Linked DNA regions of Drosophila melanogaster. The protein of the gene in region 4 interacts with the protein of the main gene of each other region in a biochemical or structural test. Each region holds a gene or a part of one and is shown on either strand. Other genes may lie near its edges.

Region 1 (4,986 bases), on a different chromosome or scaffold from region 4:
GTTTTTCGTTTTTGGCTAGTTCCAATGTCAGAGGAGCATTATTCTGTATACGCATATTGAGTTTCGGTTAATTAAAATGTTCAATAATATGATTGTTGAGAGCGATTTGAGAAGACTCAAATAAATATTTTAACAATTAAAGAAAAGTTATGATACCACAGTTTGCAAATAAATGGGTCCGATTTTCCAAATAATTATAATTTCAGCTCATATGCAGCGAATTTAGTATTTTTTGAACCTCCGTATTCATTATTCATTAATAATTCAAGCCATCCTTTATTTTACTCCCGTTGCCACTATAGGCTGCAATTGTTATTGAACATGACATCAGAAAATGTCGTTGAACCCACGAAGAGAAGGCAATTGTTTTAGAGAGCCACATGCAAGAGCCGTGTCGGCATTTATTCATATTTCCCTGTGTTCATGCGTGGTGAAGTTCCGATTTAGTTGAGCGTTCTTCTTTCGGCTCAGGTGAAGTGTGTGTGTGTGTAGACAAATCATTCGAGTTTGTGGCAAGTCAATAATACTCAATAGAAGGCAATTGTTTTAATAATTTGTCAGTAGCTAAAAAAAAACATAAGTGACAACAGACTCGGTCGTCGCTCTCCAGGAAGGTCGAACGACTACATTTTAATTGACTCAGTGATATAGTGTTAATTTTTAGCTGATACGTCCGATAAAGACTACATATACTAACGGTGAACGTGTTGATGTTATAGGAATTTGAATTAGCGTAAAATTGCACAGGAAGCAAATATTCACCTAGTCTGGCTGGGCATTAATTGACTCGTAATTTACGTAGAGGTAAATACACACATTTCAATCAGATTAGGACAGTAGAAGGAGACGAAATCGCATTTTGTCGATACAGTTTGGTGTGTGGCTAGATTTGATTTCAGTTATACGACCTGTAAGCTGTGACTTTGTGCTGTAATATTGTAAAAGTTAATTTAAAATGAAAAAAGAATATACTGCTAAGTTAGATAACCGTATACTTCAGTGATATTGGCCATACTGCCTAACGTTTTTATAAAAGTGTCCTTTTATTTATTTATTTTGCATTACACAACCCGTTAAAGTTAACATTTAACACTTTCTGTTTACTTTTTATTTCCAGGTAAGTCCCAATATTTCAGTATTTAAGGGTTTTGTGGTCAGGGAAACGGAGAATCTGAGCCATCGACGTAAACACATGTGTTTATATGTGCACATGAATTTCTATTTACATAAGGGAGCTCAGGAACACTCATATTTGGTCAAGTGTTAAATCAAAGTGACTAACGACTATGTTTATAGATTTTGCCCTCCGACTTTTCGCAAAATATCCCCAGGTATTCGTTAATATATTCTTAATATTAAATGGTATGTCCAGGCGCGAGTCCCCACTGCGAGTCCCTTCTGGATTGGATACTAGCCATTAGTATTCCCACGATGTAGACTCTAATATTTTCTATTTCAGCAATGTTCCATAGCATACCTTATCAATGACGAGTTCAATGGCGTTCACAAGAACCCAAGCGGAGACATTTAGAAACAAATAATTTGATTTCCAGTGACGCGACAGTGCTGAGTTATTTTGGTTACGTGAACAAATTAATACAACCTGACATTTTGTCAGTAACAGCGACGAGTTAATTGTTTTCAACTCGATTTGATCTTTGCAATCAACGCACTTTGTGACTAATTGTTGTCGTAATTACAAAACTGTGCAGTTTATCTCGGAGCATCTTAAGAGAGAGGCACTTGGAGACGAAGAGCGAGACCACTCTTCGACGAGCCATTGGACTTCTGGGCCAAGATAAAAGAGACTAAGCACACAAAGATGGATCGAAGAGCGAGAGAGCGGGAACGGTTGGCCAACACGCGGGCAGCGAGCTTGGCTCAAATGGCACACACATAGATGCCAAGGCGGCGGGTGCGAGTGTGTCGGTGCGGTGGCAAGCGGTTAAAACCTTTCTATAAAAATTTCATAAACGTATCAGTTGTCTGCGAAGCGGTGCACAAAACGGACGTGTAAACGGAAGCCGCACGAAAACGGCTCGGAAATCGGAATAGCGCCCGTACACGCAGCACATAGGAAATCGAATCCGAATCTGAGTTAAATGCCTTAATCGAATTTGGCCAAAGCTCGCCTACCGCGCTTACAAGTTTTTTCGTTCACGGGCCGATGAAATCTATATAATCTATTATCCACAAGCCACCACAGAGCCACTAGATGCACTGTGCGGCGCATGCGCGACCTGTTTGTGTTGTTGGCATACTTCTAACAGTCAGTGTTTTCTTTGTTCAAAAGTGCCTCAAGTAAAACCCCACTTTGATATGGATAAGTGGTAACAAGAGCAGCAGTAGCAGCAAAACTGGAAAAGGTACAAGCCCAGGGAAGCTGCAGTGTGCGGAACATTCCTCTGGTGGATCCGAACTCAGAAAAAGATGGGAACAGAACTTTCTATTTTCTTTACTGTTTCGCGTGTGTTTCGCTGGTCATGCAAACATATTTTCTTTGCCTCGGCGCATGCCGCTGGAATTAGAACGGTGTATTCCGTGCGGAATACAAAGTCGAGCTTATTTCGTAAGAGAATTCCTGCGAATCTGGTTATGCAATGCCTGACAGCCCACAAAGTCGTCCTCAAGTTGTTGCGAACTTTATCGTTTACTATGTGCTAAAATGCACAACTGGCTTGCCAAACGGGTGATACATTTTTGTAAGTGCTAAAGCGCTCAGTTCCGTGCACATGAACTTTCTTATACACTGCTGTGCACTTCCACGGCGTTTTTTTTTTTCAGACACCATACCAGGCCTCAGAAATCATATCAATTTCGACTTACGTGACTTGGGCAAACTGCGCCATTTCGCACATATTCTTTGCGTTTAGGCTAAGATTTAAGTTGGCTCTCAGGCTTGGAATTAGCGGAGTTTAGGGCCTTCTTTTATATCGCTTTTCAGCCTTCTCTTGCTGCACTGTGCCGTGGTCGTAAATTTCCTGCGTCATGAGTCATGCCTGTCAGTCGGAGTCGCTTAACAACAGCAGTGGTAGCAGAAAAAAGATAAAGATACAGATACAAAATATTCAGTTGAAAAACACATGAAAATTGCTTTCATGGTATTGAGTGTGGAGCTCCAGATGAGCTAAAGAGAGGCAAAAAAGCTCATTGTTTATGGTAGCTGGCTTCGTGGTCCGCTCTTTGTTGTTGGCATTCCGAGCTGTAACCTCTGATTGTGATCCCTTCGAATTACTCCTTTCAGTTCATTGGTTCTCTCTTCAGCTCCTGCCACTTAAGCTATTAACTGTGGACCGTGCACTTTCCCAAAAACCTCTTATACATACGCTGACGATACTTTGTTTTCAGTTAGAATAAATAAATACAGTAAGGGAATAAAATAAATGTGGTTTTTAAAGCATATATGTGCAATCTCGGAGTCACGTTCCTACTGGAATATTTGCGTCGTCCTTGCACTTCTCTTTTTTGAGTAACGGGTATTTGTTAGTCAAAGAACTCGCTTTGGTGTTTTCTCTTGTTTTTTTAAGAGTGTTGGCGCCACAAAATATTTGATGAATGTGAAGGACGTTCAATTTCTTTTAGTTTCTCTCTTAAAAAAACAATTTTTTTATTAAATTAAGTACACGAATGTCGCGGATATTAATATATATGAAAAGTTCGACATATCGAATAAATTCGAATTCCATGAGTGGAAGGGAACTAAGTCTCGTCACCATTGTGCAATGACCTAAATCACGGTCATAAAATCAAAGCCAAACTTTTTTTTACCATAAGTTTTGTTGTGTTGGTTGAGGTTGTCGGTCAATGGCTATGTTTTTGCTGGCCAAATAGCTTACTTTTGATTTCCACATTAATGGAGCGCAGCAAGCGAATCACAATGTTATTTGCATTAAATTTTTTTGGAGTCACGGAGAAAGTACGCACAAAAGCTATAAATTAGACGGCATCACACAGCTTCTTAATTCCTATCGCTCTCTTGCAATGATTCACTTTTTTTTGGCTACGCAACGTAGACTCGCTCACAGATTTGGCTGAAAACCATCATGTCGAATGGCAACAGAAAGAGTTAGTGTTTGATTTTCGAGGTTTACTAGTTGTGGATTGGCGCACTAGAAGGAAATAACAAAAAAGCAGACAAACATAAAAAACGTTAAACCGGTTCAATTTGGGTCGTAGTACCTTTGAGTGCAATTGTTACCTTTCAGAAACAACGACAACAAAGACTTCGCCAATCGCACTCCATTCCACTCGCTCTGCAGCTCATTATACCCGTTATTATGTTCGTCTTGTTCAGTTTTCTTGGCACGCGTTACCGTAAAAAAAAAAAACTCCCACACAAGCAACCGAAAACACATCGAGCGATATTTTGTAATGACCATGCTTCGAATCGGTTACCATAGGTCAGTCAACAAGTTCGGTGTGAGTTGAGCTTTTATTCAGGGATAAACGCACCGTAGTCTTTTTGTTCATACTCGGTTAGTAACAAAAACTATACAAATCTTTAAAACACTCGAACAATTTTGGTCTTTTTGTACAACTTAACGTATGTAAGAATGTGTAAAATATTGTAAAACACAACGATTTTCTACTAATGTTTTTAAAACATTTTAAAGATATTTTTAAAATATCATATACCGATTCCTCTGAAGTCCACCTACGGCTGTCTAATTCGCTAGATGTTGACTGTAAAAGGTACAGGGTTTTAAAATTGTTTCAATAAAGCAAAATGTTCCCGGATATGTTTCGATCAAGAATATATATATATATATACATTTTATATATACTTTTCAACGAATCTAATTTCCGCTTTTTATCTTCAACTACAGGAATAAAAATATAATTTCTTGGTACACGACAGTATTAGTCCTTGACGTCCGACTCGTGACAAAAACTGCTAAAAGATATAGATTACTATATGCATCAGAGCTTTCAATAGCCTTTCGAAAACAAGACGGGTTCAACTGGTTTTATACAACGTCGTTGCTG
Region 2 (7,757 bases), on a different chromosome or scaffold from region 4:
TGGCCATCTACAAAAGAATTTAGCTCCTGTTTGGAAATACTGCTGTCATATTCTGACGGATTATGGCTATTATTGCCCTATTAGAGCTCGATGTTAATAAAAATTACAGTTATTTTAAAGATGGCTGCCTGAGCGAATGCACCCAGTAAGAAACTAGAGATGGGCGATCGCATAGTTATTTTGGCCGTGACACGAGAATAACAAGTCTGACACGAAATATTTATTCATACCTTATTGTTTTTCCAAATCACACTGCAAGTGATCTCGCACGTACGCAGCTCTAAAGAGTTTTTTTTTATTAATAGTGAAATGTATTATTTTACGTCTTTAGTTTCGATTTGTCTACGAAAGAAAGGGGTGTTTGAGCCATGAAAATATCGCCATAGGGATTGGTGGGTTTTTGGCTTTCGCGGTCGAATTCGGAGCCAATGGCCCACAGCGACTCCAGATCGTATTCCTCGCGAGCACTCGGTGAAAATATGTGCAGGGCAATGTTGCCTAAAAGGAAACGGAACGTGTTAGAGCGGAGAAACCGGAATATGCATTTATTTCAATACCCACCCAAGTCCATGGCCATCCAATCCCGGCTCTTATCGCCCTCGATGCGCGGCAATATGTCACCCTTGCCCCGCTTGATCTTGAACATTCGGCGCACGAACTCCGCGGTGGACAGCATGTGTCGGTAACTGCGACCACTGCAAACCACCAGGTGGTCAACGTACTTCAGGTTCTCCGGCACGTAGCAGACGAATATGTCGTCCACATTCTCCTTGCGGAGCAGCTCCACCAAGTCCTCAACGTCGAACACTCCGCGAACACCTCCTGCAAAGGGAAACAAAGGCTTAAATTTCTGCTCTCCCTGGACGATTGCCAACCTACGCTTTAAATTGAGGCCGTAATAGTGATCCAGCTCCAGGTCCGGCTCTGGAAGTTGCTGCTCCTGGTGGCGTGCCTCTTCCACATCAAAAATCTCCGTGGCTTCCTCATCGCGGAATATTTTGTACTTGTCTTGCACGCCGGCAACCAAAGTCTTTTCGGGATTGCCTTCGATTTCCTGGCCCTTCGCTGCCTGTTGTGGCGGCTTGGAGAACTCGTGGTGGAAGCAACGCAGGACAGGCACACTCAGGCGCCTGTCGTGCACTAGGCGGAACACGCGGGTCAGCATTTTGCTTTGGCTTCTTTCTGTTGTTATTAATAAATTGGGTAACAGTTGTTGATTCGATACTTTTGGTATTACTCGATAACACTGGTCAACGATGAGCGATTGTAATATCGGTATTTTAAAGTATTTGAACCCAATTTTCTTATCAGAATTTTTCTATTTTACTTTTAAAATATTTTATTTTATTTTTTTTATTTTATTTTTATTTAAAATATTTTATTTCAATTGTTTTTATATTGTTATGTCTTTAGTTAAGTATTTAATTTTATATAAATTATAGAAAACTTATCCCGAATGTTATATTATGTTTCAGTAAAGTTCTAATTTCTGCGCAAGCACTTTAGTTTCAGTATGTGTTCTATTGCTCTACAGCGCCTGGTCACATTATTTGATGGTGAAAATATCGATAGACGTAACTAATATTTCAGAATAATAATGTCGCAGATACAATATATTGTGTTTGGCTTGCATTTGTAAATAGGAATCACCATAAGAGAATATAATATGTAATGCGATCAATATAGTGATGTACAATCGAACTATCACTCGGTATCGCACTGCAAATACCGATAGTATTTCGCAAGCTCAAATATTCGATACATCGACACTGTCGTGAGTTGTCCAGCTCTAGTTCTCCTCTGAAATTAACCAGCCGCCTGATAACCAAATTAAAAGTTATTAAATCGGAACAAATCGCAGCAAAGTGTGCACAATGAGCGAGCAGAAAACGAGTGGGAGTGGGTCGGCGGCCGCTGCCCGTCTGCAAATCGAGGCGGAGTACAAGGACAAGGGGCCGCAATGGCATCGCTTCTACAAGGTAATTGGCAACAACAACTGCGACTGCACTGAAAACTGGTTACAAACTGGACGAATGATTGTGGCACAGTTCGATTCGCCAAGGATTCGCAACGGATGCGGAGTATACACCTTTCCACAGCTCCTTGGCGCTCCGATTTCCACGAAAATGTGATGAGTGCGCAAAAGGCTTCTGCAGATGCCTCCACCACCAACACCAGTGCAGCGGCGAGCTTTACGTGTGTGCGTGTGTATTGTGTGTCAGTGCTGTTGTTGTTGCAGTTGTTGCTTTAACAGCCAGGCTTTGGCCAAAAACAAAAACCCATGGAAAAGAATGTACAAACAGAATAGCACCAACACACATACACGCACACCTGCTGCACTTTACTTTGCATTCTCCATCGAACGCGTGTGTGTGTGAGTTCGTGCGTGTGTATTGGCCTGTATTTGGCATATTTATGCTTGTTATTCTGCCATACCTTTCCCCAAAAACGCTTTCCTTTGACTATCAATAGAGCGCTTGAGCTATTCCGCGAATTCTCGTTTGGCCAAATCAAATTGGAGGCGATTTCTGGGAAGCTCGTTGTGTTTGTGATTGCCGTCCCCCAAAAACAAAATACAATTCGTGGAGGGGTGACAGTGCTCTCCACTGAAGAACTCCTCTAACGCGCGCACACACACACACACCCGCTCGCGTTGAGCAGGAGAGAGAGGCTCACGCACACAGGGGCACAAAGGGCATGCGTCTGGTTTTTTGAGTCTCGCTTTGGGCTGCTTCTGGTTGCCTGTCGGAATTGGAGTCGGAATCCTCTCCTTGCCCCTTCTTCTCTCCTCCTCCACCTCCACTCGTTCTTTATAGCCAGTTCCGGCGAACTGTCTTCAGCTGCTACTCCTCCTCCTCTGTTCCTCTGTGCCTCTTTCAGCGCTTCCACTCACTTGAATTGGGATTTCACGGAATTCCACTCCGCAGTTAGGATGACACAGTATATGGTCGTGTGTAGAAATATCTCGTTTCTGGACCCGCTCCTCGGCATCCTCGTTCGTCATCCTTTGTGCTCGCGTCGAGGATAATCTAATTTTCCAGCTAACTGGAAGGCAGCCCGCAATTGTGCGTCGAAACTGACTGGAAAATAGCTACCAGCCATTTCCACTGAAATACAGTGCAACTTGACTAAGACGATCTTGTTAGGCCAAAGTGAGATTTCAATAAACTTTCTTTAATCATATTTTCTCATTAAATCATAAATAGTTTTCAGCTTGATAATATTACTTTCGTGAAATTCATCTAAATTCGCTGAATTTTATATGTTCCATAGCATGTAAACGTTGACTCATTTTTGTTGCAATGAAAAACAACTATGATCAATGTGAAAACATCACATTTTTCGATGATTACTTTATGAATAAGACCGACCTACCCCAATTTTTACTTTAATAACATTTAGCTGTGCATGCTACTACATTTCTGAAGAAAATTATAATCCATTATAGGCACTTATCTGTCTTTATTATAGAAATTCCAAAACACATTCTTCTAAGAATTAATAAATCGCAAATATGTGTGAACATAAACGGTACAACTAATTTTGTGGTTATCATTAAAACTTCCAATTTATTTGACATTTGCCATATGATAGCCCATCATAGGGGATTTGGACTGTAGCCAAAAACGCAGTGACGCATTCGGACCGTATTGTTTTGCTATGCTTTGCTTTATGTTTAATCATTTCCATTGAACGAAGTGCGTTACACTGGGTCTTCTCAACTCGCCGCCCCTCCCCGCCTATCAGCTCATACCTAGCGCCTTCTCGATCCATCCGTTCCATCAACATCCCACCCAACCCACTCCGTCCCATTATGACAACCTCCGTGGACTGTGACGAAGCTCCTCCACAGCTATACCCTGCCAGAGGGTGTTATAGTCCTTACCAGTCGTTGGTATCAACAGGTGACCGTCTTCTTTTTCGTTTCTCTGGAAACAGTCAAGCCAGATTTTATGAAATATGAAACTTGTTAACTCGCATAGTGTGTGTGAAAGGGTATGTCAAATTCGTATTGGCCAAGAAGTCTTTATCCATCGTTGCAATTGTGCTCTGCGTGCATGCAATGTTTTTGTTACTGTTTCTCGATTTCCTTCGAGCGTTGCAAGGTAAAGCAGAAACATAATAACCATAAAACGGTTTGCACGACACGCTTTGGAAACCAAAGCCCCCGAGATTTCCGCGCCTTCGCTTGGATTTCGCCACTCCGTTTAGAAGGGTCACCTGGATAGCCACCGAGCATAAAAAACAGTATGTAGCTGGTAAACGGCCCAAGACTTAATGTTCAACGGAGCCGAAGAACTGTTTTCTCCATCAGAATGAATCCAATCCAAGCTATGGATTTACATAAGTTCCGGATGGATTGTTGATTTTATATATCATATCTAGTTTGATATAGTACAAGGAATACAACTTTATACATCATAAGTACACTGAAAGTCTTTATCATTGGCAAACATTTAAATAAAGCAGCTCAATTATCTGCGCGTATTCTCACGTGACTCGTCGATTATCAGACCTTAAATAGGTGATTGTAGAAATGCTATTGAGTTGAGGAGTTTCGAGAAATATTAAGTGCAACCATGGATTTCTTTCCGTTTCTAATTACGAATTATCAAATGTAGCGATAGCCATTGAGATTTTGCTCTTTGAAAAGCTTCCTTATCGGTCATTAGCCCGTCTCAGATTTGGAGATTACGTAAAAATATGACTCTTTAAAGTTATTTCATAACAGGTCAGCTGCAGAATTTGCAGCTGATTCATTGTTGAAACATGACGAACTGACAATTAACAACTGATTTTCGAGCTGCAATCAACGCGAGCTGATGGGTAACCATATTAAATGGTTACTCATCACCGCATGCATGTGATTAGCTTTGAGCCGAGTTTAAGGAGCACTTGTCGTCGCCAGGTGGTTGCCATTGACCTTGTTAACGGTTCGGTAGTCGGATTCGATGGTTCAATTGGCGGGGCCACTTTCAGCTGCGCCAGCAATTCCCCGTTCACACTGCTGATAATGCCGCACCGGTCATGCCCAAGATAATGCCATTACCGACAGCTTGCTTTGCCATCGCCATCACCAACATCGCATGGCTAATTAGTCACGCCCGCTATGTAGACTGGGTGGGCTTTTCATATGCCGCATGGTTCCCTCCCAGTCCGATGCCCCTTACATGTATCTACTATCGCTTCAATCGCAGGGTTTGCCAATCCGGAGGAGCCCCTTGTCGCTGGGCCAAGTGATGAATCACTGCAAAGGGGGCAACCCCCATGGAAAAAAACAAATTCGATTTCTGTAACATTCTAGCATTCTTCTAACAGGATCTTATCAATTCGTTTCTTGACAATTTGTTTGCGAGTCAGTCAAACAAATGTATCACTTTAAAACTAGTTATTATCAGACCATTATGAGTCTGAACGTTTTCATTTTCTCGGAACACAAATCGTAAAAAGCTTAATTGCGCCTTACAGTTTCTCAGTTTGTATGGTTCTAAAAGGAAGCTCTGATATTCGTTTTAACAATGCCATTCAATACTATTGTGCACTGCTATTTGCTGTTTGCTCTTGTATCGAAGAATTCGTTGGGTCATTTCATGCATAAATGTTTAATTAGTTTGAACTTTTGGTCTTATTACTGTCTTAGATAATTGAGTAACACGAAAACTATATTTTTTACGAATTTTGTACCAGAAAGAAGAGATCTTCCAGTAAGACACTATAGTAGTTGTCTTCTGGGGTCTGGAACGCTTAGGTAAATAGCGCAAATCTCACAAAATCCCCTGAATTACCGCCTGCAAATTGACTGATAAGTTGTCAGTAAAGCGACCGAATTTTAATACCACCTCAACCTTTGTTGTTATGGGTAGTTTCGATTGTACTAATCGCTCTTTTCGGAATTCCAGGAAATTTGTGAGACCTGCGACCGGGAGGCGAAGGAGAAGCAGTTCAGCACCTCGGAATCGGAACGCCACACGAACCGCGGCCTGAATCGCTATCGGGATGTGAATCCGTACGATCATTCCCGCATTGTTTTGAAGCGCGGCAGCGTAGACTACATCAATGCGAACCTGGTTCAGGTGGGTCACGTTTTTAATGCATACACACACCCCTAATTAAACGCCTAATGCGATCAATCAATCCTTTCTAGCTGGAGCGCGCCGAGCGCCAGTACATCCTGACCCAAGGACCGCTGGTGGACACAGTGGGCCACTTCTGGCTGATGGTATGGGAGCAGAAGTCCAGAGCAGTTCTCATGCTCAACAAGCTGATGGAGAAGAAACAGATCAAGTGCCACCTCTACTGGCCCAACGAGATGGGAGCCGACAAGGCCCTGAAACTGCCCCACGTCAAACTCACCGTGGAGCTCGTCCGTCTCGAGACCTACCAGAACTTTGTGCGGCGATGGTTCAAGTGAGTAGAACTCTTTATTCTTCTTCTGCTTCAAACCATTTGTACATGTGGACTAATTGCCTTTGACTATTTCTCTAGATTAACCGATCTCGAAACGCAGCAGAGTCGTGAAGTGATGCAGTTCCACTACACCACATGGCCGGACTTTGGCATTCCCAGCTCGCCGAACGCATTCCTTAAGTTCTTGCAGCAGGTTCGCGACTCCGGCTGCCTCAGCCGCGACGTGGGTCCAGCCGTAGTGCACTGCAGTGCCGGAATCGGGCGGTCGGGCACCTTCTGCCTGGTGGACTGTTGCCTGGTACTTATCGACAAGTACGGAGAGTGCAATGTGTCCAAGGTGCTCTGCGAGCTGCGCAGCTACCGCATGGGCCTCATACAGACCGCCGACCAGCTGGACTTCTCCTACCAGGCGATCATCGAGGGCATTAAAAAGCTGCACGATCCCGTATGTATGCGCGACCAGCGGTCGGCGTTTGGGAGTCAAACTTGGGGGCTGCCAAGCACCGCCGTATATATTGCACATCGCTATTTATTCTGGGGGGTCACAGAAATCTCTGGGCTTGGTTATGGTTACTAGAATTCATATTGTTTAATGGAATTATGATTACTTTTGAAAACTGTATTATGTTTAGTTTTGTTTTTTATTATGTGATCTAGTATCAGCTTAATGATTATTGTTTAATTGATGCGAAAAAGAAACCATTGTTTTTGGTTTGCAGAGATTTCTGTGAAGGCCCTGATTATTTTCCGCGACTAATTAGAACATTTGATTTCTCTTCAGACCTTTCTTGACGCTGAAGAACCCCTCATTAGCAACGACACAGAGACTCACACACTGGATGAGCTGCCGCCGCCATTGCCCCCACGCGTCCAATCGCTTAATCTGCCACTGGCCCCCAATTCCGGCGGTATACTTTCGCTCAATATGCGCGCGGCCCAGGCTAATGGAGCTGAAAGTATCGGCAAAGAGCTGAGCAAGGACGCCCTGAACAACTTCATTAATCAGCACGACATGATCCACGATGCCGAGGTGGCCGACAGTCGTCCCTTGCCGCCATTACCCGTAAGGGCTTTCAACGATTCGGACAGCGATGAGGATTACTTGCTGGATGACGATGACGAGGACGACACCGATGAGGATGAGGAGTACGAGACCATTAACGAGCACGATGCCGATCCAGTTAATGGACACGTGCCCGCGACAACACAGCCACATGCCGACGATGTTAATGCCAACAACGAGAAGCCAGCGGTGCCAGTCGACGAGCAGCACAAGGCGAACGGCATCGATCCAATTCCAGGCCAGCTCCCAGCCAGGTAAGAATCTAGTCTTAGATCTGCTCAGTATC
Region 3 (4,789 bases), on a different chromosome or scaffold from region 4:
ACCCATGTTAGCTTTTCAATTGGCCTAATGAACAGACTGTAGCTTGCAGCAGGGAAACAGCTGCATCAAAGGCTCTGGGGTGGCCAAACTATTCCATCAGGGGTGTGGCATCAAACCCACGAGTTTATTAACCGAAAAATTCCCTTTTAAGCTGACTCTACTAAGTATTCCAGAAAAGTTTAGAATTAGAGAGAGGAATGCGGATGGTGGAAAATAGTTATGTATATTAATTATTTTTGAAATGTATTTGCTAATCAAAAACACACTTTGAAGACGAAGAAGTTTATCCACATATAGAAATGGTTGCAAATTTTAATTGAATCACGTTCCTTTAAGAATCATGTGCATTTTTCTAATCCATCAAGTATATCAATGAATTTAGATTTTTGTTTAAAAAATAAATAGATAAATCATAAATGGAAAAGTAATTTGCCCAAAATTGCCGAACAGCACGTAAATATTCGAGTAATGACTCATCAATACATCTCTCCTTGAGCTTTCAGCTTAGAAATTGTTCGCTTCCCATACCGACAACTGATGCTCGACTGAAGCAATTTGGAAAACATCTGGTAATCAGTCAACGGATCCAGGCATCCGTATAGGCAACATATGTGCGGATACATCTATACCATATACAATGTACCTACATAAAGAGATACAACCCTCGGTGAGCGGATCCGTTTGGTCAATCGCGTGGTAAAATCAACGAATCAAAAGCATTTTAATATTACTCATGCTCGCCTTTCGTATTCTTCTTGTTGCCCCGTCTGGCTGCATGTGTAACTTTAAATTGGGGTGACGAGCCAATAAATTTAGGAAGGGTGGTGCCGCAGGAATGGTCGGATGGGGCACAGTGGGCACTGAGGGCAGTGGCCCAGTGCAGGGTCGTCGGCGGAGGCAGAGGACACACATCCATTGTCCAGAAACGCTGCTGTGACCCATTCGCGCCCAGAGCTTCCGCACTGCGGCCCTAATTGAGATTCAAGTGCTCTCGGCGGCAGTAGAAACAAAAGGAAATATTTATTCGGTCCTTTGTTCACTTTAACCTTTTCCGCTGTGTCATGTTGCTGCCCAAGTGGAAATCAATATTTGCCTTCACAAGCGACCCGATGAGTGCATTCTCATCAAATCGATGAGAGCGGCCAAAGTAAATCTGTTTAACCACCAGCGTGCTGTGTATAAATTAGTTAGTGGGTGGAGTAACCATCACTAAAACAACTTAGAACTTATCTGAAATGTGTGTGAATAAAATGGCACACTATTGGATTTATTTATTGATTTTATTGGTTGCCAAAACTCATTGAGCACTTCGCTCAACGAGTGGAGCACTTTCAGAAAAGCTTATTAACGATTTCAAAAAATGTCCAGGATCTATTCAGTACATTTAAAGGGAGACACCAGTAATTCATGTGGGTAAATAAATAATTAGTTATTGTAAAATAAGTATAATAATTTACATTAAGCGGAGTATCAATGTAAACAGAAATTAAAAAAAATTAAATCAATAGTGCCTAAAATACTATTCAATAATATTACTGCAAGTTCATAGGTGTATAGGTAATTCACTGACTATTTTATTGCTCTGAAAACAGGGAGTCACATGGAAAATTGGCACTGGTCCAACTGGTGGGGAAAACCGCCTAGCAACAGGATGGCGAGCCGACGAAAAACCAGAAAAAGAAGCAGGAAAATAAAAAGTATATCGCCAGCAGACGCAGAAGGAAGCGGAGGAGGAGGGTAGTGCAACACTTGCAAAATCAAATAGTGGAAACTTCAGACACACCAGCAAGGAAAGGACGAAGGCAGCTGCACGGGATTTCAGTGATTTTACAAGCAGGGGATGAAACAACACTAACATCAGGACTCACACACACACACACATGTGCGCTGAAAGGATCGCGACGTATGTGTGCCACATGGAAACTGCGAAGAATTTTAAGAGGTTCTTGAGAATGAAGCGTTTTGAGTAGGGAAAGCTGAAAACTACCTGACGGCGACAAAGGACCAAGGACCTGGCGGCAGGAGGCACAGGTTGCACACACACACACACACACTGACTGACACACACGAATGGACGCACAAGCGAATACAACGGTAATCACAGAGTTGCTTTTCTGCGGTTCCAAGGGCGCATGCGCCGAAAAAAAATCGCTGAAAATTCAGGGACTGCAATTATTTCCTCTAAAACTCGATTTATAAATAAAAAGTAGCATGAAATATATAGAAACTCCCCTACGTACTAAACAAGACATTCGGAAATTTAGTATGAAACTTGTTTGGGAGTCGTAGAACATGCATATTTCCTCCCTCATGGCAGTACATTTTCACACCCTTTTGCAAGTGTGTGTGATGTGATACGGTGCATAAAGTAACCGTTTTTGCATTCCCAAATTGAAAAAACTTAACGTCTGGCGAAAAATCATAAGGAAGACCAAAGACTATTATCATCTAACCGATAAAATATCAACCTACAGCATCCTGCAGTTGATTTCGCAGACTAGCGCTACTCGGTGGGCGTGGGCAGGACTCACGCACACTTCTGCACCCAACCTATACATACACGACGGGCACAAAGAAGTTGCCAGACAACGGTGAAAATTTCCCAACGGTACCGCCGACTTTTCTTACCGTTATTGTTACTGCGGCTGGCCAAATTGTTTTTTAAATGCGATTAATTGTTAACACTCACACACACACACTTGTGAGAGTGGTGGGCTATTTGCAGCAGGGTGCCACTAATCCACGGGGGTGGCGACTCCGCACAAAAGCACGGCACACACAAACACAGATACTTTGCTCTGCTCTTGACTATCTTTCAGATACTTTGCATACTATTATTCACTTTTTTGTAGGGTGGTGCACTAGCACCGCTGCAACCGGTTGGCGGATTGCTAATCGCGTACCGCTGCCGTATATCCGTCTATCCGTACCCGTATCCGTATCGGTGTCCCAAAACAAACGCTCACACGCACACACAAATACTCGCACGCTCTCGCGATTCGCCGACTAGCGCTGAAATCCGGTTCTCGATCGCTCGACGGTCCAAACAAGACTGAATCGGATGCTCAGATACTCGCCATCGGATTTAGATACAACGCTTAAACCGGCGCTCTCTCTCTCTCCCTCTCATCCTCTCTCTTTGCGCTTTCTGTGTGTGTGTGTGTCCGAAGGGGCGATTGTTTGGGAAATTTCTGGGACATTTCTCACCTGTTGCCTTGTGGACTGTGTTTGCTTGGATTTCAGCTGCAAATGTAGAACTTAATTATCTTTATAAGACGATAACTATTTTATTTTGAATATAAAACACTGATTAAACACTGATTGATTAGTTTAGTTTGTATATATTTATTTGCTTAACCAACAATATCCACACAAAGCCATGCCGAGCGATTTGGCGGAATATGTATGCTTACAAATGTGTTTATAATTTTTCACACGCTGATATTGAGGGAACATACATACATTAATATCAATTTAAGTTACTCGGAGTACAGTGCAAACTGCATCTATATCAATGGACAATAAAAAATACGTTGTACACAACCAAACAGTATTGAATTTTAATTTTAAGTTAATGCAAAATGAGTATTGGATTAGCGCAAATACTGCGATTTGAAGCATTTATAAGTTGTACAGAGTAAATGCTTTTGATAGAATATTAAAGGTTAACACTTGGGTATGGAGTACGTATGTTGTAATTGGTATCGAAGGTCAATTAAAATTCGAGGGAAGACACAATAGTGTTTACAACTAAGCTAAAACTAACAAAATCAATTAAAATTAAGTGGTTACCTAATAATTATTGTTATGTACAAGTTAAACAATGCGGAGACTTAGGTCAACACTTTGAGCGAGTTTTGTGTACGGTTTGTCTTGCGAGTATCTTAAGTAGCAGGTCAAGTCTTTACGGTTGAATCTCATGAGGATAGTTACTTTCATATGCTAGGTGTATGTACGTGTGGGGGTTTCTAAAATAAATGCTCCCCAGCTAAAGAGCCGGAATGAGAACCATGTGTTGTAGTCTATTTGTGTCATGACTGTGGACGAAACTTGTTCAGTTCTTGTTACCAGGATCTGAGCTATTGCTTCACACTTAAAAAGATATCGAACTCCAGCCACTTTAATAAGTTAAACGACAAGCAGTAAACTAATAAATTCAAGCTGGTATATATGTCGGACTATTGATTAAAATGTATGCATGTATATGGGAGTAATCTGTTATACATTTTTAAGCATTTTTTTATATTATCGCCTTAATTATTAAAGTGGCTGGATTTCAGCTCATGGCTATTAATTGTATATGGCTATTTGGCTTAACCTTATAATATCGTCCTGGAAATGGTTAAATTCGTATTTAGTTTCGACGACTTGCGTCCTGGATAATTATCTTGTTCTTCTGACGCGTCACTTTCGTGGCCGTCGGAGCTGGCATCAGACGCTTCAGCTGCTCCGGCCTGAAGCTGACCAGGGCCTTGTCCTTCACTTTTCCTACGGCTCCAGTGGTGGTTGTCGACGTAGTGGTTGCCGTGGCCGTGGTGGTTGACTCAATCAGGGCCGTGGATTCCTCGGCCGTGGACCCTGAGGAACCGGCTGCGGCAGCTGACGCATATCTGGTGAGCACATGGAACTTGGCAAAGATGTTGCGTCCGCTGCGTTGCTCTTTGTCCTTGTATTTGTCTAGCGCCGAGCCGGTGGGCATCGGCTTTGGCGCTTTGATCAGTGCCTTGCTTGGATTGCCGCCACCTTTGTAGAAATGATCGTAGTCGAAATCACTACTGGCCTGCACCGG
Region 4 (7,589 bases):
TATATCTTTGTGTTGCATATGTGTGTTGTTGAATACGGGTAATATGAATGCTGAGATTTCTCTGCTCCAGTCCTGGACCTGCTTACGTGCCATTGGCCTTCGGCAGCGATCGCACCAGATACAGCTTTTCGCCCTGCTTATTCGTGTAGATGGGCGCTCTTTGGTAGTGATCGACCAGTTGGTCCAGCGAGTGGAACTTCCTCTGCCCAATGCAGTACATGTTCTGCTCCACGTGCACGCGGAAGTGCTTGTTGCGCCCTGGGGCCTTTAACGAAACCGAATAGTCTCCCATCTGCAAGAAAGGATGAATTCGTTTATACACTCTCAAAGAATTCGGGCGGAACTATGTTATGGCACTTCAATTGCGAATTCCACTTACGTTAGTCTCACTGTCTCTGATGAGGAAGTCGCCATCGTGCCCGTGGCCGTTGAGCACCGTGTCGCACTGGCTGCGGGTGATGGCTCCATAATACCACGACTTGCCCGCCAGATTTGGCCGCTCGATTGGCTGGCCGGAAGATTGCGCCGCCGGCTTATTACCCTCATTGCGCCGCTCCATGGAGTCGTTTCCTCCGCCACCACCTGCGCCGCCATTACTTCCTCCTCCATTTCCGTTTCCTGCACTGGCACTCGCATTACGATAGGGCGTGGCCAGGTAGTCGTTCAACTCTTGGAGATAATTGCGTGGAACTAAACCGACTTGGCCCTGATTGTTGCGAGCTTTGTACCAGTCCGGATCGGAGGCGGGCCGATCCACGATCTCCAAGCGATCGCCCTTCTCGAACGAGAGCTCCTGGTCGTTGTTTGACGTGAAGCTGTACAGCGCGACCTATATATTTGAAAATAGTTGTTATTAGCCAATAATGACAACCTCTCATAGATGATGTGAATGTTTATTTTGAGAACACGTCCAGTTACTCACCACAATATCAAGCACGTTCTCGGCCATTGCGTAGGTGTGGATCTCGCCGTCGTTATCACAATCCTCCGTTGTGTAGTTGCTGGGGAACCAGCCGACGGAATTGCCGCTCTGTCCACGCCACCATCCATCGTTGGACTTCTCCAGGATGAGGATTCGTGTGCCCTTGGTCAGCGAAAGTTCATCGGGCTGCTGGGCCTGATAGTTATACTTGACCACAGCCGTTCCGATGGCCTCTGCGGGATCTGGGGGAAGTCGGCGCGACATGGTTGGACTCTCGACCTGTCGCGAAGGCGAACAATTAGGCAGTGTCTTCGATCCGGAGCCCTTTTTCACCTTCTTCTTAATGCTGCACAGAAATCGTAAATCAAAATATTCACGATCAGTATTGGGATGAAGTTTTATGGTTAGATTTCATTGGCGGTTTAAAGTGGGTTAGACTAGCCCTAGTTGGTTTGGGTGTTAGTGGATCTTTAGTTTTTAGGGGCAAGTGGGGCTCGACAGACAACGAAATCAAAACGAATTTGTTGTTTTGAAATACAAAATACAAAAGCCGAAAGCAGTTATAAGTTAAATTACGATAGCCAAAGCAAAAGGTGGAGGCGGGTATTTGAACGCGATAGAGATACAGATACATCTACGGATACGGATACAGATACAGGTATAGAGGGCTTAATTCTGCTGAAATCAGAGCAAGAAGAACGCTTAGGTTTAGTCGGGCCAGGAATCTGACGCACCTGTCGAAGAGCGAGGGCTTCTCCTTCTTCACATAGTTGCTTGGCACGTAGCCGGACTGGTTGCGACTGTTCTGGACGCGCCACCAGTGCTTGGAGTCGTCCAGCAGCAGGTAGCGCTCGTTCTTGCGCAGATCCAGCTCCTGGGCACCCTGCGCCGCATAGTCGTACTTGGCTACCACGTAGCAGACGTCGTCCTGAGATTTGCCTGCGGAGTGATTAACAGGAACAGGTTAGAAGAGTACCAAGTGCACACACAGTTAGAAAAGCAAAATGGGCCAGTATGATAGAACCACAAATTCATTAGCATACAAATCCTAGATCCTTTTACTACACCCAATGCTCTTCTCGCTGTGAGGTTATTGTGTTGCAGTTGCTCACCGTGCTTCATGTTGCCCGCCATTGATTGGGTTCCAGCGTTGCCGGCGGCACTGCCACTGGAGGAGTTGCCGCTACCGCTTCCGTTGGCGCTTCCGCTGCCGTTGCCGCCGCAGTCGAGCGCTGGCTGGCCGAAGGTCACACTTTTGTGCTGGGCGCTGCAGGAGGAGGCGGTGGACAGGGTGCGGTGGTGGTGCAACTGCTGTTGCTGGGAGAGCGAAGAGTGCCGCTGGTGATGGGCAGGTGAGCCGGGAACGGGCACGGGCACCTGGGGACGGTACTGGTAGATCTGATTCTGGTTCAGGTTCTGATTCTGGTTGAGATTCAGATTCTGGTGCTGCGGCAGCTGTGGCGGATGCTGCTGCTGCTGCGGATACTGCTGCGAACTGGCTGAGGAGTCGGGGATGTTGCGCACAAACCGCTGGGGGTGTTCCAACATTCCAGACTGGCTGCTCCTCCGCCGCGGGGGGATTCCTGCTCCTCCAGCTGGGACTGCCCTGATGCTCCTGGTGATGCTCCTGGAGGCAAGAGGCGGTGGCTCAGTGTTGGTGGACTTGGAGTTGGGGTTGGAGTTGATGAACAACAAGTCTTTGATGGTTTGGTTATGTGTTGCAGTTGCTCGCTGGCACTCTAAGCTTGCTGCAAATCGCCTCTAGCCAATGCATAATTGCTGTGGGCGTGGTTTCAGGGGGCGAATGGGCGTGAGCGTGGGCGGAAGCGTAGGCGTGGCAAAGTAAACATAAGCAACGCAATAACATAAGCAACGAACGAAGAAAGAAAGAAAAAGAGAGCAAATGATATATGCAAATTAGGCTTAATTGTTTCGCACTGAAGAAGCTAAAGAGCGTAAAAATGATTAGCTTAAAAAATACAATGCAAGTACTCAAACTCGAAATACCAAATAGGAAATCAACTCAAAATTAGCCGAGAGATGAATGTTTGTTTTTGGGGTCAGCGAGCCGGCGATGAAGATGAATGAGTGAAGTGTTTGTGTTGTGATGATCATGATGATGATAATATGAGCGGGAGATGGATATGGGGGCTGAGGGATCTGGCCATTCCAGTTGTGGGGCAATTAAAATCTGTGCAAGTGAAAGTTGCCTCCGACTGACTCCACTCAATTGAATCCAATTGCCAGGCGAGCGAATAAGTGGCCATCGGGTATTGATTTGTTCAACGGGGCAGCCTCACCGAGGCTGGAGAACCAGAGACTCAAAATCCGGGCCATTTCAGGCCAAGAAAGACACAGAAATCAACTGAGACATTCGACCGCAATGAGTCACGAACGTGAATGGTCGGGGGTATTGGGAAATTGGTTTCTTAACCGAGATTTACCGAGTGACATAAGGCAGTTAGCGGGCGGCACAGAAGGTTATTTCGGCCAGAGATCTCTAGAGAGGCTTCCCGAGTTCGTTGGCCAGGTTGGCGAGCCAACAAAATCAAAGTCAATGTCATAGCCGAGGGCCATCTTTGGATAATTAAAAATCAATAAGTGTGGGCCACGTTGAGAAAACGCTCTACTCGGTCTTTGACTCTAGGCCAATCTTGGTTTCGCTTTTCAATGACTGTTAGGTCATACACGAGAGGCTGAGTCAGCTGAAAGTGTTTTCGAGAGCTCTAATGCCATTCAATTCTGGCATTTCGGTGCAATATCTATTAGCAACTGACCCATACGTATATAATAAGAAATGCAGGCAATGCATAAATTTGTTTTGCCGGTAAACTTCTAATCGTGCTTCCTGTTCGAATTTTGGCCATAATAATCTCCATGTGATAACGAGTGTTTTTGTTTACTTTACCATCGATTAGTCAAAGGTTTTTGCGTTAGCTAGAGATACGGAGAAGTACCTGTTTAACCGAAGCATTGGTCGCAAAGTGATTCACTGTTGTGCGAATTGTCTGTGTGTTTTCCCTATTTTTTGAGAGGAGAAAGCGGGAGTGAAACCGTAACCGAACCCAGATAGAAACGGAGAAAGAACCCGAAAAAGATTATATTTATGCAAATGCTGGAGTGATAAGGGGGCGGTTCAGTTCGGTTCGCTTGGGGACTTGGTAAACATGAAACGCCTGGCTGGCTGGCTGGCTGCCAATGAACTGAAATGCACCACCGTTGGATTCGGATCGGTGTTTGGATTTCTTTGGCTTGGTGATTGTTTTGTTATTGTTTGCGCTTGCATAAGCCCAACAGCCGAGACATTGACATTACACTGCTGATAAAATCCGAAGAAATCGGAAGGAACTTGCTGATAAGTTCGTTAGCGCGGAGAAATTGTCAAAAAATATATTATGAACTATGATTTGATAAGATTCCCTACTGCTACTGCAATAAATGAATATATATTTTTAAAGAATTCTTTGTGGTATGATTTCTTAGCTTCCCGTATGACAAACATTTATGTTTTTTTCCGGTGCACTCGTTCATTGTTTTCCTGACAGCAGTTCGTCTTTTCGCTGAGAGAAAGAAAGAGTTGCACGTGCTTGGGGGACAAGCCCACAAGTTTATGAGGCGGAAAGTTTGTTTCCCCGTGCTGTGTCTGTGTATTGGTTGAAGATCGGTTCCAGACGAGGGAGTATAGTCATTGGTCCCCAAGAAAAGCCATCACGAACGAATTGGTGGCCCCGAAACGGGAGCATTTGGGTCTATAACATTGAGTTACGACTTCGGTGGATGGATGGGGCAGCCATGGAGGAACTGAAAGTGGGGCACTCTTATCTGGATCTCGGGGCGTGGGAGGCAAAGGGCAGCCTGTTTACATAAGATCACTCATTCAGGGAGCTGGGAGTCCACTCCCGCCCGGGTTGATTAAGTAGATGCTTTTGCTGGGGAATGGGATTCGAATGGGGTTTCGGTTTCGGTTTTGTTTTTTGTATTTTGTATTTTTTTTTTGGCTTTTGTTGCCGAGGGAGTTTGCGACATTTGCCGGCCGTTTCGTTTAGAGATGCTGCGCAAAATCTCTGCGAGGTGGTGGCTTTTTGGCAGCGAGAGGGTGGACTTCTCGTCCTGCAAAGGATGGCAGGACTCGTTCCCAGTGTTGTTAAGAGTACAAGCTTTTGTACCTGGCACAGGCTTTTGAAAAACACAAGTACCTACTATAGTAGTATTTGAGCAATGAACATATTATAGATTTATGGTAAGTGAAGCATCTTCACGATTTATCTGTTTCATCTATCTAGACAAGGGAAAGGGTACATATGTACACACATATATATCGGTGGCACAGTTTGCCGTAAACACGACCATGGTTACCCAAAAAAAGGTGATGGAAAGCGGAGGGCTAAGGGTTGCAGCACCGCCCACTGGGCGGGTGGTGGACCGAGCCAAAGGACTACGCACCACCAGGTGACGAGGGCGAGATAAAGAGAGAGAGCGCAGGTCAAGAGAGAGAGAGAGAGAGCCGAGAGAGAGAGCCGTGAGAGATTCGAACAGGAGCTAAAAAGGAGCAGCCGAATATTTTGTGTGTACCTACCGGAGACGAAGCGGTTGGACTGGCAACTCCTATATTCCTCCTGGATCTCCTTATCCTGGCACTCCTTATCCGTATCCGTATCCTTATCCGGAAAGTCGGAGTCCGTATTTCTCGGTCTTAACCCTTGGCAATCCTCAGGATTTGGGAGTGGAAGACATGGGATAAGACACTGCTCCTGGAACTCCTGGAACGCACTCTATATCACTTCCACTTTCCACTGGGCTATTGCACTTTACACACACTTAAAACACAACTTTAATTATAATACACCTAGGCGTGAGTGTGTGTGTGTGAGTGGGGCGGGGGTGAGCCTGTGTGTGTGTACATATGCTGCTGCCGCGATTGAAAAACACACAAATCCTGACAAATAAACGCTTTTCCACGCTTCTGATTACCGCACACGTTAACTGCGTTAAGTGGCAAATTGTTTGCACAATTTTGCAGCGCTCTCTTGCGGTTAACTAATTAAATTTTAATGATTTTGCCGGAGCCGTTTCTTTCACGTCGCCCATCCGATTTCGATGTGCGGAAGGCGATAGCGATTGACCACGACCAGGGCTGTCAGGTGGCGTATCAGCGGTTTTTCTTAGCGAACTATCGATAAGCACGTTGCGCGCTGTGCAGCACTTGTCCGGTCATCGGGTCTATCGATATCGGGTGGCGTTTTTGTTATGATTTTGGATTACATGGTTGGTTTAACCCGAAATACCATGCTGAAAACTCGGGGTATTGTGCTTGGCATCAGCAGGTCGTACACCGCCAAGGCGAAGAGGGGTGTGCTGGCGCAGGACAAGTCGAAGATCAAGGAGTACTCACCGAAGACGACGGACAGCCATGAGCACCGAGTTTACGTGTGGGGCTTTCAGGAAACCGGCGCTCTCGGTCTCCAGACCAACGTGAAGAAGGCCAAGGAACGCTACACGGAGATGGTGCACCATCCCACCCGCTTGCAGTTCTCCAACAACAACGAAATCACGGATGTGGCCGCCGGCTACGGGTTCACGGTCTACGCCGTGAATAGAGATGACGGAGAGACGCTCTTTGGCAGCGGTTTGAACACCGACTCCCAACTGGGTTTCCAGGTGAAGGGAAATCCCAATGATCCGGCCAACCTTGACGTGATCATTTATCCTACAGCCATTAAACTGCCGAGAGTTCAGGGAGAAACAGACGAGGACATGCGTGTGAAGAGCATGTCGGCGGGTAGAGCTCACCTGGTGGTTCTGACCCAAAACGGAACCATTTTCACCCTGGGAAACAATTCGTACGGCCAATGTGGCCGCTCCATCATAGAGGAGGAGCGGTACAGCAAGAGTGCCCTGATCCACAGGATATCGCAGGAAGATATATGCGGCAAGGAGGATGAGGTGGTCCAGGTGGAGTGCGGCCAGGACCACAGCATGTTTCTTACCAAAAAGGGACGCATTTACACATGTGGCTGGGGTGCGGATGGTCAAACAGGTCAGGGAAACTACCACACCGCCGGGCAGATAACCCTGATTGGAGGAGATGTGGAAAAGGAGAAGATTGTGCGGCTCAGCTGCTCCTCGGACTGCGTTTTGGCCCTTAACGAGGCGGGCGATGCCTTTGGCTGGGGCAATTCTGAGTACGGACAGCTAGATGACTCAGAGCTGGCCGAAACCCAAATAAATATCCCTAGAGCTCTCAAACTAACGAAGTCCATCGGGAAAATCAAGGATGTGGCTGCGGGAGGCTCATTTTGCATGGCCCTCAACGACCAGGGTCTGGTGTACACCTGGGGCTTTGGCATCCTCGGCTTCGGACCCTTCGTGGAGCAAACATCCAAGCCGCAGCATCTGTTGCCGCCTTTATTCGGACGAAATGACTTCAGCAACGAAACCACAGTGGTTTCCATCGGATGCGGAGTGTTTCACATGGGCGCCGTCAACTCGGACGGAGATCTCTTCATGTGGGGCAAGAACAGGTTCGGGCATCTGGGGCTGGGACACAAGAAGGACCAGTTCTTTCCCTTTAAGGCGGCCATCAACGGAAAGGTCACCAAAGTGGCCTACGGAGTGGATCACACCATTGCCTTGTGCAAGCCGTTCTTCTAGATTAAGCTGTTTGTTT

What was found.
Region 1: of the proteins of dock (region 4) and Src42A, one has a biochemical effect on the other in vitro, tested with the Drosophila melanogaster proteins (one study listed by BioGRID).
Region 2: the proteins of dock (region 4) and Ptp61F form a complex in vitro, tested with the Drosophila melanogaster proteins (2 studies listed by BioGRID, with this or other methods).
Region 3: the proteins of dock (region 4) and Dscam1 interact in far-western blotting, tested with the Drosophila melanogaster proteins (one study listed by BioGRID).

What each region holds. Positions count from the first base shown.
Region 1 is NT_033778.4:5,991,012-5,995,997, forward strand, and holds the start of Src42A (Src oncogene at 42A), read left to right. Parts: upstream 1-1,980; 5' UTR 1,981-2,366; intron 2,367-4,986. UniProt on the Drosophila melanogaster protein: Required directly or indirectly for the phosphorylation of drpr which is necessary for the interaction of drpr with shark and subsequent glial phagocytic activity.
Region 2 is NT_037436.4:1,344,594-1,352,350, reverse strand, and holds the start of Ptp61F (protein tyrosine phosphatase 61F), read left to right. Parts: upstream 1-1,751; 5' UTR 1,752-1,874; coding exon 1,875-1,979; intron 1,980-2,808; exon of another isoform or gene 2,809-3,152; intron 3,153-5,900; coding exon 5,901-6,074; intron 6,075-6,145; coding exon 6,146-6,408; intron 6,409-6,486; coding exon 6,487-6,853; intron 6,854-7,189; coding exon 7,190-7,725; intron 7,726-7,757. Other genes in the region: CG9166 (uncharacterized protein), read right to left, coding at 320-498, 562-822, 880-1,165. UniProt on the Drosophila melanogaster protein: Non-receptor protein tyrosine phosphatase. Required for maintaining dock/dreadlocks in its non-phosphorylated state. Negative regulator of InR/insulin-like receptor signaling through dephosphorylation of tyrosines when recruited by dock/dreadlocks.
Region 3 is NT_033778.4:7,378,843-7,383,631, forward strand, and holds the start of Dscam1 (down syndrome cell adhesion molecule 1), read right to left. Parts: upstream 3,028-4,789; 5' UTR 2,629-3,027; intron 1-2,628. Other genes in the region: cos (costa), read right to left, coding at 4,355-4,789. UniProt on the Drosophila melanogaster protein: Cell surface receptor involved in guidance and targeting of growing nerve axons.
Region 4 is NT_033779.5:824,417-832,005, reverse strand, and holds the start of dock (dreadlocks), read right to left. Parts: upstream 6,038-7,589; 5' UTR 5,499-6,037; intron 2,702-5,498; exon of another isoform or gene 2,550-2,701; 5' UTR 2,471-2,549; coding exon 2,035-2,470; intron 1,862-2,034; coding exon 1,657-1,861; intron 1,269-1,656; coding exon 923-1,268; intron 830-922; coding exon 380-829; intron 293-379; coding exon 83-292; 3' UTR 1-82. Other genes in the region: CG3862 (uncharacterized protein), read left to right, coding at 6,209-7,573. UniProt on the Drosophila melanogaster protein: Adapter protein that links cell surface receptor tyrosine phosphorylation to downstream signaling pathways and effectors, many of which are involved in regulation of the actin cytoskeleton.